3 separate regions of the Mus musculus genome follow, and all the other regions are reported to be linked to region 3. The links are microRNA targets in miRTarBase. Many come from high-throughput screens and were not tested one by one. Region 3 holds a microRNA gene; each other region holds the end of a gene's coding sequence.

Region 1 (5,000 bases), not on the chromosome of region 3:
CTACCCTGTTGAACTTGGCCTACTGTGAGGGTCTCCAATGTCCATCATGTGGGTTCAGTGTCAGTCTGCTGTTGGCCTTGATAGAGCAACCACTGTTTCCAGATCTGGGTCAGGGAGAGAGCTAGCTGGAGAGAGCAGCAGACACTGTGGCATAGAGGCTTACTGGGATCTGACTTCCTATTGCTTTCCAGGAGGCTCCAATGCCAGTTCGAAATTAAAGCATTTTTCAAATCCTATTCCAAGACTTGGGACCAAGACAGAGATCGCTCACAGCGTGCTGTACCTGGCCAGCCCTCTGGCTTCCTATGTCTCAGGTATCGTGCTGGTGGTTGATGGTGGAAGCTGGATGACATTCCCCAATGGCATCAAGCAACTGCTAGAGTTTGAATCCTTCTCTGCTAAGCTGTAGGTAAGGTGTTGTTCCCACTTCTCGGGATCCCCATGTCCTTGGATGCCTCATCTTTTATTCTACTAAGTGCAGCTATAAACTACTAGTCATGTTTTCATAGGAGCATCCCTGCCCCTGTCCTGGCACAGAGGGGCCCTGGGCCAGGTGGGCAAGACATGGTCTCCAAGAATGTGAAGGAAGTGGGCTCTATGACACTGGGTTTTCCCAGACCTTATCCTCGTCTCTATTGGAGAAATACAGCCTTAAATTTGCAATTTTCCTATCTTAGCCTCTGGAGTGTGAGAGTACAGGAGTACATGCTAGGATATAACTTTTTCTTTTCTTTTCTTTTCTTTTCTTTTCTTTTCTTTTCTTTTCTTTTCTTTTCTTTCCTTTCCTTTCCTTTCCTTTCCTTTCCTTTCCTTTCCTTTCCTTTCCTTTCCTTTCCTTTCCTTTCCTTTTCTCTCTTTCTTCCTCCTCCTCCACGTTCTTCTTCTTTCTCCTTATAACTTCATCTCAGGTCAACGTTTATTCAGTGATGATTAATGATTACTTTTCTATTAATTAATGAATTAATCAATTTTCTTTACATCATGACTGAAGCTTCCTCTCCCTCCCGTCCTCCCGTCCCCCAGGGGAGTCCTCCCGTGGATATCCACCTTCTTCTTCTTTGAAGATAGGATCTCATGTACACTATGTAGCTGAAGATGATTTTACAAAAGAGCCACCCTGCCAATTTTTGCAGTGTTTGAAGATCACACCCAAGGCTTCCAGCAGGTTCAACCAGCAGAATCAACTGATCTGTACGTCCTCCCCCGGGGATCTTCTGACACATAAACTTCGTACTCAAGATAGTTGTTTTGAGGAGGCAGTGTTCTTCATGGGGAATGCCTCCTGCCTTGCATAGGTCTATAGTCACACAGGAAGTGTTGAGTCTGACTTGGAAATCCGAGCCCACTCCCCTGCCTCTGGGATCAAGCTCTTTGCAAGCTCTGCCTCTCCTCCGCCCACATCTTGAGTAGGAATAACCCGATCATGCATAGCTGAAACTTGCTTACAGTATCTGAGGAATTCCTATGGTTTTACCAGAAAAAAAATGCATTTTCTTGTAAAAAAAAATTTTTTTTTTTGAGACAGGGTTTCTCTGCATAGCCCTGGCTGTCCTGGAACTCTGTAGACCAGGCTGGCCTCGAAATCTGCCTGCCTCTGCCTCCCAAGTGCTGGGATTAAAGGCATTCGCCACCACTGCCCGGGTTTTTTTTTTTTTGTTTTTTGTTTTTTCTACTATAAAAATAGCTATGAGTTGGAATTTGTAAAAGTTTCTAGAGGGCTGGCAAAATGGTTCAGCAGGTAAGAGCACTGACTGCTCTTCTGAAAGTCCTGAGTTCAAATCCCAGCAACCACATGGTGGCTCACAACCATCTGTGATAAGATCTGGTGCATCTGAAGTCAGCTACAGTGAACTCATGTATAATAATAAATAAATCTTTGGGCCAGAGCTAGCAGGATTGAGCGAGCAGAGCAGACCAGAGCGAGCAGAGGTCCTAAAAATTCAATTCCCAACAACCACATGAAGGCTCACAACCATCTGTACAGCTACAGTGTACTCATATACATAAAATAAATAAAGAAATCTTTAATAAAAACGTTTCTAGACAGAAAAAAAATTGACTGATTCTACCATGGAAATAGTGCTTGTGTTTCCTGTCTTTTTTCCATATCTCTTTAGCTTGGTTGCTTCTCATGCCTTCCTCCCACCTACCGAGCCCAGTCCTTCCCCCCTCATGCACTCCTCCCACCAACTGATCAAAGTCCTTCTCCCTCATGCCCTCCTCCCACCAACTGAGTGAAGTCCTCCCCCCTCATGCCCTCCTTCCACCAACAGAGCCCAGTGCCCTCCTCCCCATTATCCTGCCCCCCAACCCTAGCAGCACAGCTTCCTGACTTCTTACCAATGGTCTCCAGATCAGAGGGAGGTGTGGCACTGTGGCCACCCTGGTGGGAGGGAGCATCTCCCCCTCCCTGAAACCTTTCAGCCCTATAGTCACCTGTCTTTGAACTCCCCGCTCTACTACAAATCCTGAGCATGTTCTGCTGTTCCGGGCCCCTTTGGCAGACACAGTATCAAGCTCTTAGCTGTTGAGCCAGCTCAAGAAGGACACAATTTCAGCACTCACTCAATGTGTAAGGTACAAGCAGCCCCACTGCCCCATCCGTGGGGGTTGCCTGCCGGCTCCAGCATGTGGCCACCATGCTGGTGTGTCAGAGCATTTGGTGGCCAGCCTTGTCTAGCAAGTGCTGGGATTAAAGGCATGCGCCACCACCGCCTGGCTAACCTTAATGTGTTAGTGTAGATACCCCCAGAGTCCAGAAGAAGGCATCTTTGAGATCCCCCTGCAGCTGGAGTTATAATCTGATTTGAGTCTCATGAAAATTGAAATCCATTCCTCTTCAAAAGGAGTATATAGCTCTAATCACTAAGCCATTTCTCCAGCCCCGCCCCCCCCCCCCAAGATGCAGATTTTAAAAGGCATTAGTTCATTATGATGGCACAGGCTTGTAATCCCAGCACTTGGGAGACTAAAATAGGAAGATTAAGATTAAGGGTGGTTTAGACTGCACGGTGAGACCCAGCCTTAGAAACCAAGCAAGCAACCAAACAACAAATAACACACCCCTCAAACCCAACCCAAACCAAACCCCCTCAGCAACAGCAAAACCCAGGCTTAGTGGTATACACTTGTAATCCTAGCATAACTGCCACAAATTCAAGGCTAGCTTGGCTACAGAGTGACTATCAGCCATGCCAAAAACCTGTCTTAAAATAACAAAGTGGGGCTGTAGAAATGGCTCAGTGGTTAAGAGCACTGACTACTCTTCCAGAAGTCCGGAGTTCAATTCCCGGCAACCACATGTGTCACTGTGAGGGTGGGCTTTGAGACCCTCCTCCTAGCTGCCTGGAAGTCAGTCTTCTCCTGACTGCCTTTGGATCAAGATGTACAACTCTTTTTGTTTGTTTGTTTGTTTGTTTTTGTTTTTGGAGACAGGGTTTCTCTGTATAGCCCTGGCTGTCCTGGAACTCACTTTGTAGACCAGGATGGCCTCAAACTCAGAAATCAGCCTGCCTCTGCCTCCTGAGTGCTGGGAGTAAAGGCGTGCGCCACCTTGCCCAGCTAAGATGTACAACCCTTGACTCTTTCTCTAGCACCATGTTTGCCTGCACACTGCCATGCATCCTGCCAATATAGTGCACTAAACCTCTGAACCTGTAAGCCAGCCCCAATTAAATGCTGTCCCTTATAAGAATTGCCTTGGTCCAGCCGGGCGTGGTGGCGCTCCTTTATTCCCAGCACTCGGGAGGCAGAGGCAGGCGGATTTCTGAGTTTGAGGCCAACCTGGTCTACAAAGTGAGTTCCGGGTCAGCCAGGGCTGCACAGAGAAACCCTGTCTTGAAAAACCAAAAAAGAAAAAAAAAAAGAATTGCCTTGGTCATGGTGTCTCTTGTTAGCAATGGAAATCTTAAGTCATACAGCCAGTACTGTTACACAGAGAAACTCTGTCTCAAAAAACCCACACATCCTCCCCTACCACAAAAAGAACAAAGTGTCTTGGGTTGTATGTGTTTAATGAACGAACAAACAAAACTGCATGTACTCACCCGTGCCTTGGTTTGAGCCATACAGGTGATTTCTAGCATGTCAGTGTTTTCCATAGGTTACAAATGAAGGTCTGGGTATGTTTATCTTTGTCTATCCAGAACACAAAAACCTTAAAATTGCCCAAAATAAACACTGCTCATTTGGAGGGGGTTCCTTTCCACTGATTTCTGTTGCCTTGGTAACTTGGAGCAGCCCAGCTGTGGCTTGCATGTACTACAAGATCTGGCACCAAAATCCACTTGTCTCCCTGGAGGATTTTCCCAAGCACTGGGTCTTCCTCTCTGTTTGCCAGGGCGGGGCCACCTCATGGAGACATAGGAAACAGGTTGAAGGTACCTGTCTGTTGTATTTGTTTGTTTGTTTTTGCTTTTAAACATTTGTTATTTATTTGCATGCATATGTGTGGGCAGGATGTGTTACGATGCTCATGTGGAGATCCGAGGATAACATTAGAGACTTGGTTTTCTCCTTCTACCAAGTAGATGCTGGGGGTTGAATTCCGGTGACAGGTTTGGTGGTCTTTACCTGCTGAGCCATCTTGCTGGCCCATATTACTGTGTGTGTACAGAACATGGGAAGGGGAGCACATGTATGTGCAGAGGTCAGAGGACAGCTGTGTGTTGTCACTTCTCTTCTTCCTTCCCATGGGTTTTGGGAAGCAAACTCTGGTTGTGAGGCTGGCAATCTCTATGCACTGAACCATCTCAGCGGCCCCTGAAGAAGACCTCTTCACGTCAACATTTTTTTTTTTGAGTTTTTATTTACATGTCTAAAAAAATGTTGCCTGAATATGTTTATGCACCACAGGTATGCAGTGCCTGCAGAGTCCAGAAGAGAGCATTGGATCCCTTGGGATTGGAGTTACAGTGAGCTGCCATGTGAGGGCTAGGAATTGAACCCAGGTCATCTGCAAGAGCAACCAGATTTTTTTTTTTTTTTTTTTTTTTGGCTTT
Region 2 (5,000 bases), not on the chromosome of region 3:
CTGTGCCCTTTAAAATCATGAGGATAGCCCTGGTTTCTGTTTCTCGTTCCCTTCCCTGTGTATCCTCTCCGTTTGCTCCTGGAAGTAAATTATACAGTAACAGATACTGGCCCTCTATAAGTGAAGAGACTAGTCTTGCCTGAGGCTGGGGCTGGAGAAAGCTTGACTTCTAGGGTCACAGGGACTTAAGTCCTAGCTCACTTAATTGCTATATGACCCAAACAAGTGACAGCCTGTGCCTATTTCTTCCTCTGTAAAATGAGATTATTCCTAATACTAGGTGCATAAAGTCGATATATGTACTTACCTAGTACACAAGAGGCATCATCACATACACACTTTTCTGAAGTCAAGGGAGAATGGAGGTGGATATTTTTTGTCTGTTTAAAATTGTCTATGATCCGGTGATGCATCAGGTCCCTTGGGTCATAATGATATACCTGTGCATCTGTCTTGTGCTCCCTCCTACAGAAATATCCAGAGCACGCTATCCGAAAGGTGCTGCAGCTCATGCTACGCAGGGGTGAGATCCAACACCGTATGCAGCGCAAGGTGCTCTATCGCCTCAAGTGAGCCCATTGCCCATCAACCCTCAAGCCTGAAATGCTGCCACCACCCTATCTCCCAGTCAGTGCTCCAAACCTCCTTTTGCCCTGCCTCTCCACCTCAGACTGCAGTCTGCAGCACATCTGCAGCCCCTGGAAATGTACTTTGGTCTGTTGGCCTCATACTGTGTTTGAGTGTCTGAGGACTCTCTGCTCTGGGTGTCTATCCCCTGTCATGCCTTCTCAACAAGATGAGTCTGGAGCAGGAACAGGCCCTGGAATGTAGATGGGTCTGTATATTGGCTCCCGGGCCACTCACTGCCAAGCTTCTTTGTATGTACAGAGGTAATAAAGCAATTGAGTCCCTGGCTGCTAAGGTCAGTGGACCCAGTATGATAGTAGTGCTGTGTGAATACAAGGTTGACTCTTTCAGCTTTCTTCAGCAGCACCTAATGTGAGAACTGGATCATTCATTGAGTTGTCTGCCTCAGTTTCCTAATCTGCAAACAAATTTGATGAAGCTGAGCTCAGTGAGTGAGTGGCTGTCAGTGAAAACCCAAGTAGACTCCAATGTAGAATGTCTCCAGGGCTTTATTTATAGCAAGTGGGCCTCAGTGGTGTCTGGGGAAGGAACCAGACGTCAGGGTTTATCAGTTAAGGAGCTATGAGTACCTGAGCAAGCTTCAGCACAGTAGGAGGTATTAGTGACAACATTGTTAAAAGAAGACACCCAACACCTCGTATTACCAAAATGCCGAAAATTATGATTTTAGAAATCTATAATTTATAAAATTAAGGAAAAGTCAGTGAAATATTTAAGTATTTGTTATGTAAAGTACATTTATAAATGGGAAGCTAGTGCTGAAAACACTGCAGTCACCAACAGTAAAGTTACTGTAGGAGGAAGGCTTGAGAGAACAGGAAGTACATACACAGGCCTTTCTCGTAGATGGCGTCCTGTGCTGAAATGGCTGTTGCTTGAGGTGTTTGCTTTTTTTTTTTTTTTTTTTTAGTTTTTTGAGACAGGGTTTCTCTGTGTAGCCCTGGCTGCCTGGAACTCACTTTGTAGACCAGGCTGGCCTCGAACTCAGAAATCCGCCTGCCTCTGCCTTCTGAGTACTGGGATTAAAAGTGTGGGCCACCACGCCTGGCTGAAGTGTTTGCTTCTTACTCCCTCCTGGAAATGTGCTTGCTCCTGACGAATGGCCATAGCCATTTCTTTTTGATTGGTCTGCAAACTTGGAACAGAGTGTGCTTGTCTGGAAGGGCAGGCTTGGTAAGAACATTTCATCCTACTTGAGGCCTTGAGGATGCATGGACATGCGGGCCTGCAGGAGTGCTTAGTTGAGTGGAAGATGCCGATATGATACCTCTTTCTTGGTAGGCCCTGGCTGGCAGGCACAGTGTTAAGGGAGACAAGCTTGGCTTGCAGGGAAGTGGGCAGTGCTCGGTGTGCCACAGCACGAGGAAAAATGCCCAGGAAAATATCCAGGAATTAAGGATTGGTTGGTTTCTGAATCTGAACTGGATCCTAACCTTTAATTCTACGAGACACTGGCCTGAGCTGCTGGGGCTAAGTTACTGTAGCCCTGCAAGTATGGCCAAGATGGTCTTAGGACACACTTTCCCCTCTTTTCCTCACCTTCCCATGAGTGTCTCAGATAAGTAGGATTTGAAGCAGTGCTCTGAGGACTCAGCCCTGCTGCTTGCTCTGCTTTCATTGCTTCCCCAGACAGCAACTTGATTTTCACTTTTTTTTTTGCCTTGGCATGCTTGGGCGTCCTGGTGATTCCTGGTCTGGTCCCTTGCCCAAGGTATAGATAGACATTTCACATCCCCTGGTTGGTCTTTCAGCTTAAATATTATTTGTCCTTAGACATATATTCGTGTCACGCAGTGACAGGATTGGTACGGGCCCAAATGGGCTGCAATGGCCTGTTATGTTAGCACCTGAGCTCTGCTGCATCTACCATCACATATTGTCTGACCCAGACTGCACGTGGGAGAGGATTCTACTGAAATGCATGAGGTGTGGAGGATTTCTGGCAAAATTCTAAGCAACTGTTAATGACAAGCTGTTGGGAATCATACACACTGTCACCTTAGCCACCATAGAAGTCATACGTACAGTGAAGATTACAGGCCAGACATGGAAGTTAGCATCCCTGTAACTCCCATATTTAGGAGATGGAAGCAGGAGGATCAGGAGTTCAAGGTTGTCCTCAGTTTCAAAGTGTTCAAGGCTACAACCTGGGCTATAAGAGATTGGTCCTGTTTCAAAAACAATCTACATAAAAATGTGTTAGTGAAAATACTATTTTAGAGGAACATTTACAAGTACCAGAATAAGGCCAATTCTCTTTTTTTGCGGGTGTGTGTGTGTGTGTGTGTGTGTGTGTGTGTGTGTTTCGAGACAGGGTTTTCGTATAGCCCCGGCTGTCCTGGAACTCACTCTGTAGACCAGGCTGGCCTCGAACTCAGAAATCTCCCTGCCTCTGCCTCCCGAGTGCTGGGATTAAAGGCATGCGCCACCACCGCCCAGCCCAATTCTCTTATTTTTAAACTATTTTTTATTTTTATCTTATGCATCTTGGTGTTTTGCCTGCATGTATGTCTGTATGAAGGTGTTAGATCTTTGATTTGCAGGTGTTTGTGAACTCTATGGGTGCTGAGAATTGAACCTGGGTCCCCAGGAAGAGAAGCCAGTGCTTTTAGATGCGGAGCCATCTACCCCATCCCAAAGAAACAACAAAAACAAGGAATTTCAGAAATGCAAAAGATGAGTTTTCTCAGACTGTTGAGGTGGAAGTGGCAGAAGATGCACACTTCACAGGGTAACTTTGTGGTTTTAGATGTAAGTTTTTCACTTCTATTAAGTATGTTATGGTTTTAGATGTAAATCTTTCATATTGTGCGTGGGTGTGTATGTGTTGGTCTTAAATAGCATGCCACATGGGTGGAGCTTAGGAGGCAACTGCATAGAGTCTGTTCTCTCCTTGCATGTTTACATGGGCTCTTGGGAAAACTCAGGTCATCCGATGTGTGTGACAAGCACCTTTACCTGCTGAGGCATACAGATCCGTGTGCTTAAACATGAACACTGGTAGGTTGGTATTTATGAGCCAAGGGTTGCAGCTCAGTGGTTGACTGCTTTCCTGGCATGTGTGAGGCCAGGTTTTCAATCCTGGCACCACAGGAACATGGTATGGTTCAAAGGGTAGTTTTCAGTTAAATCAGTGAGGGTTTTTTCTTCTACTTGAAAGATGAGGCGGTAAGGTAAAGTTCTGGTGTAAGTACATGGGCCCAAACCCAACTGGCCTGGGTTCAGATTGTAACTCAGCTACTTACTGTACCTATCCCAGCCTTAATTTCCTATTAAGAAATAGGGGTGCTGGGTTTGGTGGTGCACGCCTTAAACACCAGCTCTAGGGAGGCAGGCAGGTGGATCTCTTAGGTTTAAGTCTAGCCTGATCTATAGAGCAAGTTCCAGGATGAGAGCTCACAGAAACCCTGTCTTGAATAAAAAGAAAAGCGGGGGGGGGGGGGGAGAAAAAGATGTGAGCACCGATTTAAGGATGAGGCAGGCTCTTCTAGGGACTGAGCTGCCTTGACAGCAAATTTTGGAATTATTAGGAAACTAAGTTCCAAGCAATAGATAGGCAGTTTAGGGTCCTTTCCATTGTTTCCCCTTTCTCAAAGTTCAGGCTGAGGTTAAGAGAATGGCCATGAGGATGGGTTGGTACTAGCACCTTACCCACAGTCCAGCAAAGGGTGCTGTGGATGGTGTGGAATAGATTAAGGTAGACAATTGCATCCATGGTTTGCCAGATCAGTTGCTCGCTCGCTCTCTCTCTCTCTCTCTCTCTCTCTCTCTCTCTCTCTCTCTCTCTCTCTCTCTCTCTCTGTGTGTGTGTGTGTATGTGTGTGTGTATGTGTTAAAGTGAAAGGATACCAATCAGGCTAGATTAGGGCCCACTTTAACAAACCCACAGGTCTCTACGTTTAATAGGATTAAAGACAAGTGCTACCATACCTGTTCCATAACTACCTAACAACTTTGTACTCAGGTCTGAGGCGCTGGTGTCTAGGGCTTTTTTAACATGATAGGTGGTGGGGGAACAGGCTTCTTTCTAGGACAGGAGGAGTGGGGTGGGGCTGGGGTGTAAGCCCCTGTTGCCCACAGAGTGGAAAGTTCCTAGCCTTAATCTTTCATCAGACACATTGAAGAGAAAAAGGCATTATATGGGGAGCAAAGTGGCTCAGGAGTCAAGAACTTCTGGCCACCTTGAACCAAGTTTCTACTTGTGTAGGGACAGGATTTGGGGAAGGGTTTGGGAAAGAATTTCATGGAGGGTCCAGGGCTGCTTTCTGATGCCCTCCTCTGCCAAAATGTTTTCAGCACCTTATGAATGAGTGGTGAATTCTGCACTCACTGTGTGCCAAGTAGTACACTAG
Region 3 (5,176 bases):
GTACCTGCAGTGGTGCCCCAGAGTGCTCCACCCGAACCTCACAGAGAGGAAACTTTGACCGCCACCGTTGCTTCCCAGGTGTCTCAGCAACCCTCGGCTGCTGCCTCCCCTGGGGAACAAGCCGTTGTAGGCTCGGCCACCACGACCGTCCCCAGCAGTACCAGCAAAGACCGCCCGGTGTCCCAGCCCAGCCTCGTGGGGAGCAAAGAGGAGCCACCGCCGTCCAGAAGTGGAAGTGGCAGTGGTGGCGCCAGCGCCAAAGAGGCGCAGGAGGATAGGAGCCAGCAACAGGATGATATCGAAGAGCTGGAGACCAAGGCAGTGGGAATGTCCAATGACGGTCGCTTTCTCAAATTTGACATCGAAATCGGCAGAGGCTCCTTTAAGACAGTCTACAAAGGTCTGGACACCGAAACCACTGTGGAAGTCGCCTGGTGTGAATTGCAGGTAATGCCCCACCCCCTTTTTTCTTATTCGGTCGTTTGGATCCCAAATTTGGCTCTGTTAAGCCAGTTTGTCGAGTTCACTCTTTACTTGTAATTCTCTGACTCTGAGAGGGCGGGAAGACTAGTGTCCAAAGAGGTTGAAATTGGGAGATTGTGGAGCTTGTAGTTAGTTAGGTGTTTGGAAAAGATAGGAACTATTGGTGTCAAGAAGGATTGTTATCAGCCAGGGGTAAAAAGAGTCATTTAAGTACAAACTTGTGTGTTTAATGTCAGGCAGGAGACATGGAATTATTGGAAAAGGGTTTCCCTTCGTGTTGGGGATCGAAGAAGTGGGGCCTGGACAAGTGCTTTCCCACTGAGCTAAATATATCCTCAGCCTTTGGGAATTTTTTTTTTTTCTTTTGCTTTAAGTAAATATCAAACCTTTTTTTCCTGTACACTTCATTCTCTTCTAAGCCTCTGCAATAATGAACTGCCTTGTGTGTTTCCATCTCTAAAATCTGATTGTTAGACAAGACCCTGTACTTTTAAGGAACAACTTTCTTGATAGCAGAATATCATAGCATAGTAGCTAATAAAGGCATGCCTGGAAATCCCAACTACTTACTCTATTGGTCGAGGCAGGAGAGCCTCAAGTTCAAGGCCAGTCTGGCCTGGGTAGTGAGACACTGTCTTTTTTGTTTTGTTTTGTTTTGGTTTTTTCGAGACAGGATTTTGTATAGCCCTGGCTGTCCTGGAACTCATTCTGTAGACCAGGCTGGCCTCGAACTCAGAAATTCACCTGCCTCTGCCTCCCAAGTGCTGGGATTAAAGTCTTGCACCACCATCAAAACAACCACCCAGTCCCTGATTCCCAACTCTCTTTCCCTTTAAGTGCTTTCAGAGTAGGAAGGTACAGTATATACCTACCAATATAACCACCTACAGGTGCTTAAGCCTTATGGCTAGCTGTGATCTGACACTGTTCATTAGTCTGTCTTCATCCTATTCAGTCCATAGTGAATAGTAAAAGTCCATGCAAAATTGTATAAGTGCTTTGAAAGTTGTGATAATACCATCATTGTTGTAATATCTTATAAAAGACTTTTTGTGAGTGTCCCAAAGTATAGCCCAGACTGTCCTGAATTTGTTGATCCCTCTGCCTCAGCCTCCAGAGTATTAGAATTATAAGTTAATGCCACTATGCCAGGGATATAAAAGATTTTTAAATGAAACTTCCCAAGAGTCCGAGGGATTACAGTGCTTTCTTCCTTCCTTCCTTTTTTTTTTTAATCTCAGGGAAATTTTCAGGTTATAAATAAAGTGCAGGTATATGCTAGATTAGTTTGGACTACTAATTGCTTGAATTATAGCAATAAATAAATGTTATTATATTTATTATATAAATTTATATTTATATAAATAATATAATATAATATAATATAATATAATATATATTATAGCGATAAATAAATGTTATTATAAAGCATCTATATAAATATTGGTTTGTTAGCACTTGTTCACATCCAGAAATGAGCATGTATTTGTGGTGGAAGCAGAATTTCAGCTACATCATAGATGAAAGTGCCACTACTGATTTCTTGTCAAGAAAATGGACCAAACTGAAATAGGATTGGAAAGTAACTGAAATAATCTCAGAACTTGATTTACCCAAGAATTAATAAACAGCTTGGTTTCCAAATGTCCCAAGGTCATTTGAAATGTGAAAGGAATAATGTTTGGAATTTGCTTCTATGTGGTGGTGCATGCCTTTAATCCCGACACTCGGGAGGCAGAGGCAGGCGGATTTCTGAGTTGGAGGCCAGCCTGGTCTACAAAGTGAGTTCTAGGACAGCCAGGATTATACAGAGAAACCCTGTCTCAGAAAAAAAAAAAAATGGAGTTTGCTTCTAAATATCTAGTGAAGGTGAGCAATTACCCAGCTTCAACAATTATCAGCATATGATTGTTCACTTAAAGATAGTCGATTAAGCTTTCTCTTCCACTTCTCTATATGCTTGAAATTTATTTTCACCATTGGAAATGAGTGTTCGTTTTGTTTTTATTTTAAAAATGTGAAAGAACGTTAACTCAGCATGTGGAAGCAAACATGAAACTGGCAAGTTCTTGAACATAATTCCTTGAGTTCAACACTTAAAATGGAACTTCTAAGCACATTAATGAAGTAAAATAACCAAAAAAAAAATTACCCCTTGTTAATTTTATAACTGATAAGAGTTGGAAATGTGACAAATATTTATTTATTTATTTATTTATTTATTTAATATTTTGGTTTTTTTCAAAACAGGGTTTCTCTGTATAGCCTGGCTGTCCTGGAACTCACTCTGTAGACCAGGCTGGCCTCGAACTCAGAAATCCGCCTGCCTCTGCCTCCCAAGTGCTGGAATTAAAGGCGTGTGCCACCACTGCCTGGCCGTGACAGGTATTTTTTAAAAATTACTTTTAGCCGGGTGTGGTGGCACACGCCTTTAATCCCAGCACTTGGGAAGCAGAGGCAGGTGGATTTCTGAGTTCTAGGCCAGCCTGGTCTACAGAGTGAGTTCCAGGACAGCCAGGGCTATACAGAGAAACCCTGTCTCAAAAAACAAAAAAACAAACAAAATTACTTTTAGTAGGTTTATTTTGTTTTTTGAGATGGCTTTTTTTTTCCCTTACCCTATATTGTGAAGACTCATTGTGTACTCCAAGCTGGCCTTGAATCCATGATTCTTCTGCTGTAGCTTTTGGAGTATTGGTATTACAGGACCATGCCAGACAAACTTACCTTCATTGTTTGTTTGTTTGTTTGTTTGGTAAACTTGTCAAAATATGCCTCTCCTCCTACTGGGCAGTCATACTCAATAATTTAGATGAAACTGATTTATAGGAATTTTTGTACCAAGGATCTATTACTGATCCAGGAATTCAATTCTTCAATTACATTTGTTTTATTTAATTATCTATTTATTTAAGATTTATTTATTTATTATATATAAGTACACTGTTGCTGTCTTCAGACACTCCAGAAGAGGGTGTCAGATTTCATTACAGATGGTTGTGAGCCACCATGTGGCTTTTTATAAATGTGTGCTTTTACTTTTTATTTTTATTTATTTATTTTTAAAGACTTATTTATTTTATGTGTATGAGTGCACTGTTTCTGTCTTCAGACACACCAGAAGAGGGCATCAGATCCCATTACAGATGGTTGTGAGCCACCATGTGGTTGTTGGGAATTGAACTCAGGACTTCTGGAAAGAGCTGTCAGTGTTCTTAACTGCTGAGCCATATCATTCCAGCCCATATCATTTTGTTTTAGATCAAAATATTTGGGTTCAAATTAAAGGTCAAACCTAAGGATAAGTAAAGCTTTGAAAAGAAAAGGAAAAAAAGTACCCCTTTGACATTATCTCCCTAGCAGTGTGATTTTAAGCATGTACTACCATGCTTAGCTTTAAAATTTTTAGTGTATTAAAACTAGAAGGGTTTTGGGAAATAATAGCTCATTAGGTAAGGACCCCTGCCACTAAGCCTGATGTTCAATATAGCACCCACATTGTGGAAGGAGAGAGCCAACTTGTGAAAGTTGTTTTCTGACCCCTGCACTCTTGCTGTGGCACATGTGTACCTACATAAATAGATGCAAAATTGGATAAAATCAGGCTATCTCTCCCACCTACTTGTTTGTTAAATAAGGACCTGAAATCATAGGGCATTAAGTAATTTAGCTTTGGTTAAGAAATTACAAACATTAAAATAGTTATGATATAGCAATTTGGAAGGTATTGAAGGCAATTACAAATTAGACCTGGTAGCAGAGGCCTATAATTTTAGTTATTCAATGAGGCTGAAACAGTAAGATCACAGGTTCAAGGCCTGTCTAGGCTACAGAGTAAATTTTAGGTCAGCCTGAACAACAAAATGAGACCTTAACTCAAAACTAGAGTCAGAAAGAGAAGAGAGCTGGGGATACAGTTCAATGGTAGAGTACTTTAGTGCAGTGTTAGAATATTTGTTTAATAGCTACAAAGTTCTGGGTTCAGTCCAGAAAAGGTAAAGGAAACAACTGTGGTTACTAAAATAAAACTTGCCAGCCAAATTTCTGGCATAGATATGCTCTTCAGGGCCTATCCCATCTTAAGGAGTCTTTGGCAGTTGTAGCTTCTCTGAGAGGGAGAATCATTATCTTTTATCATGTTGTTCCCAACTGGTAGGTTTCTCATGGGCAGTCACAAATCCATGCAACAACAAATTGGATTTAGTAGGCTATTTTTAAAGAGTCAAAGAGTTGAGGAGTATGTGTTGGGGGCATATAAAAGGACTTGGAGGGGAGAAATGGTGGTGGATATATTTGTGTATACATGTTAACACTCTGAAGAATCAAGAAGAATTTAAATTTTTGTTTTTTAGAAAGGCCAGGCTGTCGTGGTACATGCCTTTAGTTCCAGCACTTGGGAGGCAGTCACAGGCTGATCTTTTGAATTTGAAGCCAGCCTGGTCTACATAGTGAGTTTCCAGAAAATCCAAGACTACACAGAGAAACCTAAAAACAACTGATCAAATAAAACAAAAACAAAAACAAAACCCCAAACTACATTTGTAGTCTCAGTAGATAGCTAATTAGTAATACTAATTTCAAATGAAGTTATACTAATTCTGTGTAGAAGTGGCTGTCAGGATTTCTAAAGTTCTCTAATAAATGACAAATTTAATTTTTATCACTTCATATGGGGATCTAGACTTTGGAGGAT

The links. Region 3 holds the annotated microRNA mmu-miR-706 (AGAGAAACCCUGUCUCAAAAAA, at 3,010-3,031, shown strand). A microRNA usually pairs through its seed, bases 2 to 8, with sites in the 3' UTR of a target mRNA and lowers its output. Matches are read on the target gene's strand: a 7mer-m8 pairs with bases 2 to 8, a 7mer-A1 pairs with bases 2 to 7 and ends in A, and an 8mer does both.
Region 1: the mRNA of Decr2 is a reported target of mmu-miR-706. Seed matches in the 3' UTR shown: 7mer-m8 at 1,527-1,533.
Region 2: miRTarBase lists Mcm5 as a target of mmu-miR-706. Seed matches in the 3' UTR shown: 7mer-m8 at 1,573-1,579.

Annotation. Positions count from the first base shown.
Region 1 is chr17:26,078,285-26,083,284 of GRCm38, reverse strand. It overlaps Decr2 (2-4-dienoyl-Coenzyme A reductase 2, peroxisomal), which reads left to right. Exons shown (of 9, transcript NM_011933.2): 8 at 192-409; 9 at 1,024-2,074. The coding sequence ends at 409. Among named protein-coding and RNA genes, the nearest start is that of Decr2, 9.4 kb to the left of the region's middle.
Region 2 is chr8:75,126,752-75,131,751 of GRCm38, forward strand. It overlaps Mcm5 (minichromosome maintenance complex component 5), which reads left to right. Exons shown (of 17, transcript NM_008566.3): 17 at 472-1,688. The coding sequence ends at 573. Among named protein-coding and RNA genes, the nearest start is that of Mcm5, 20 kb to the left of the region's middle.
Region 3 is chr6:120,032,145-120,037,320 of GRCm38, reverse strand. Mir706 (microRNA 706) reads left to right here and starts at 3,010; the gene lies at 3,010-3,093. Wnk1 (WNK lysine deficient protein kinase 1) reads left to right here. Exons shown (of 28, transcript NM_001199084.1): 1 at 1-447.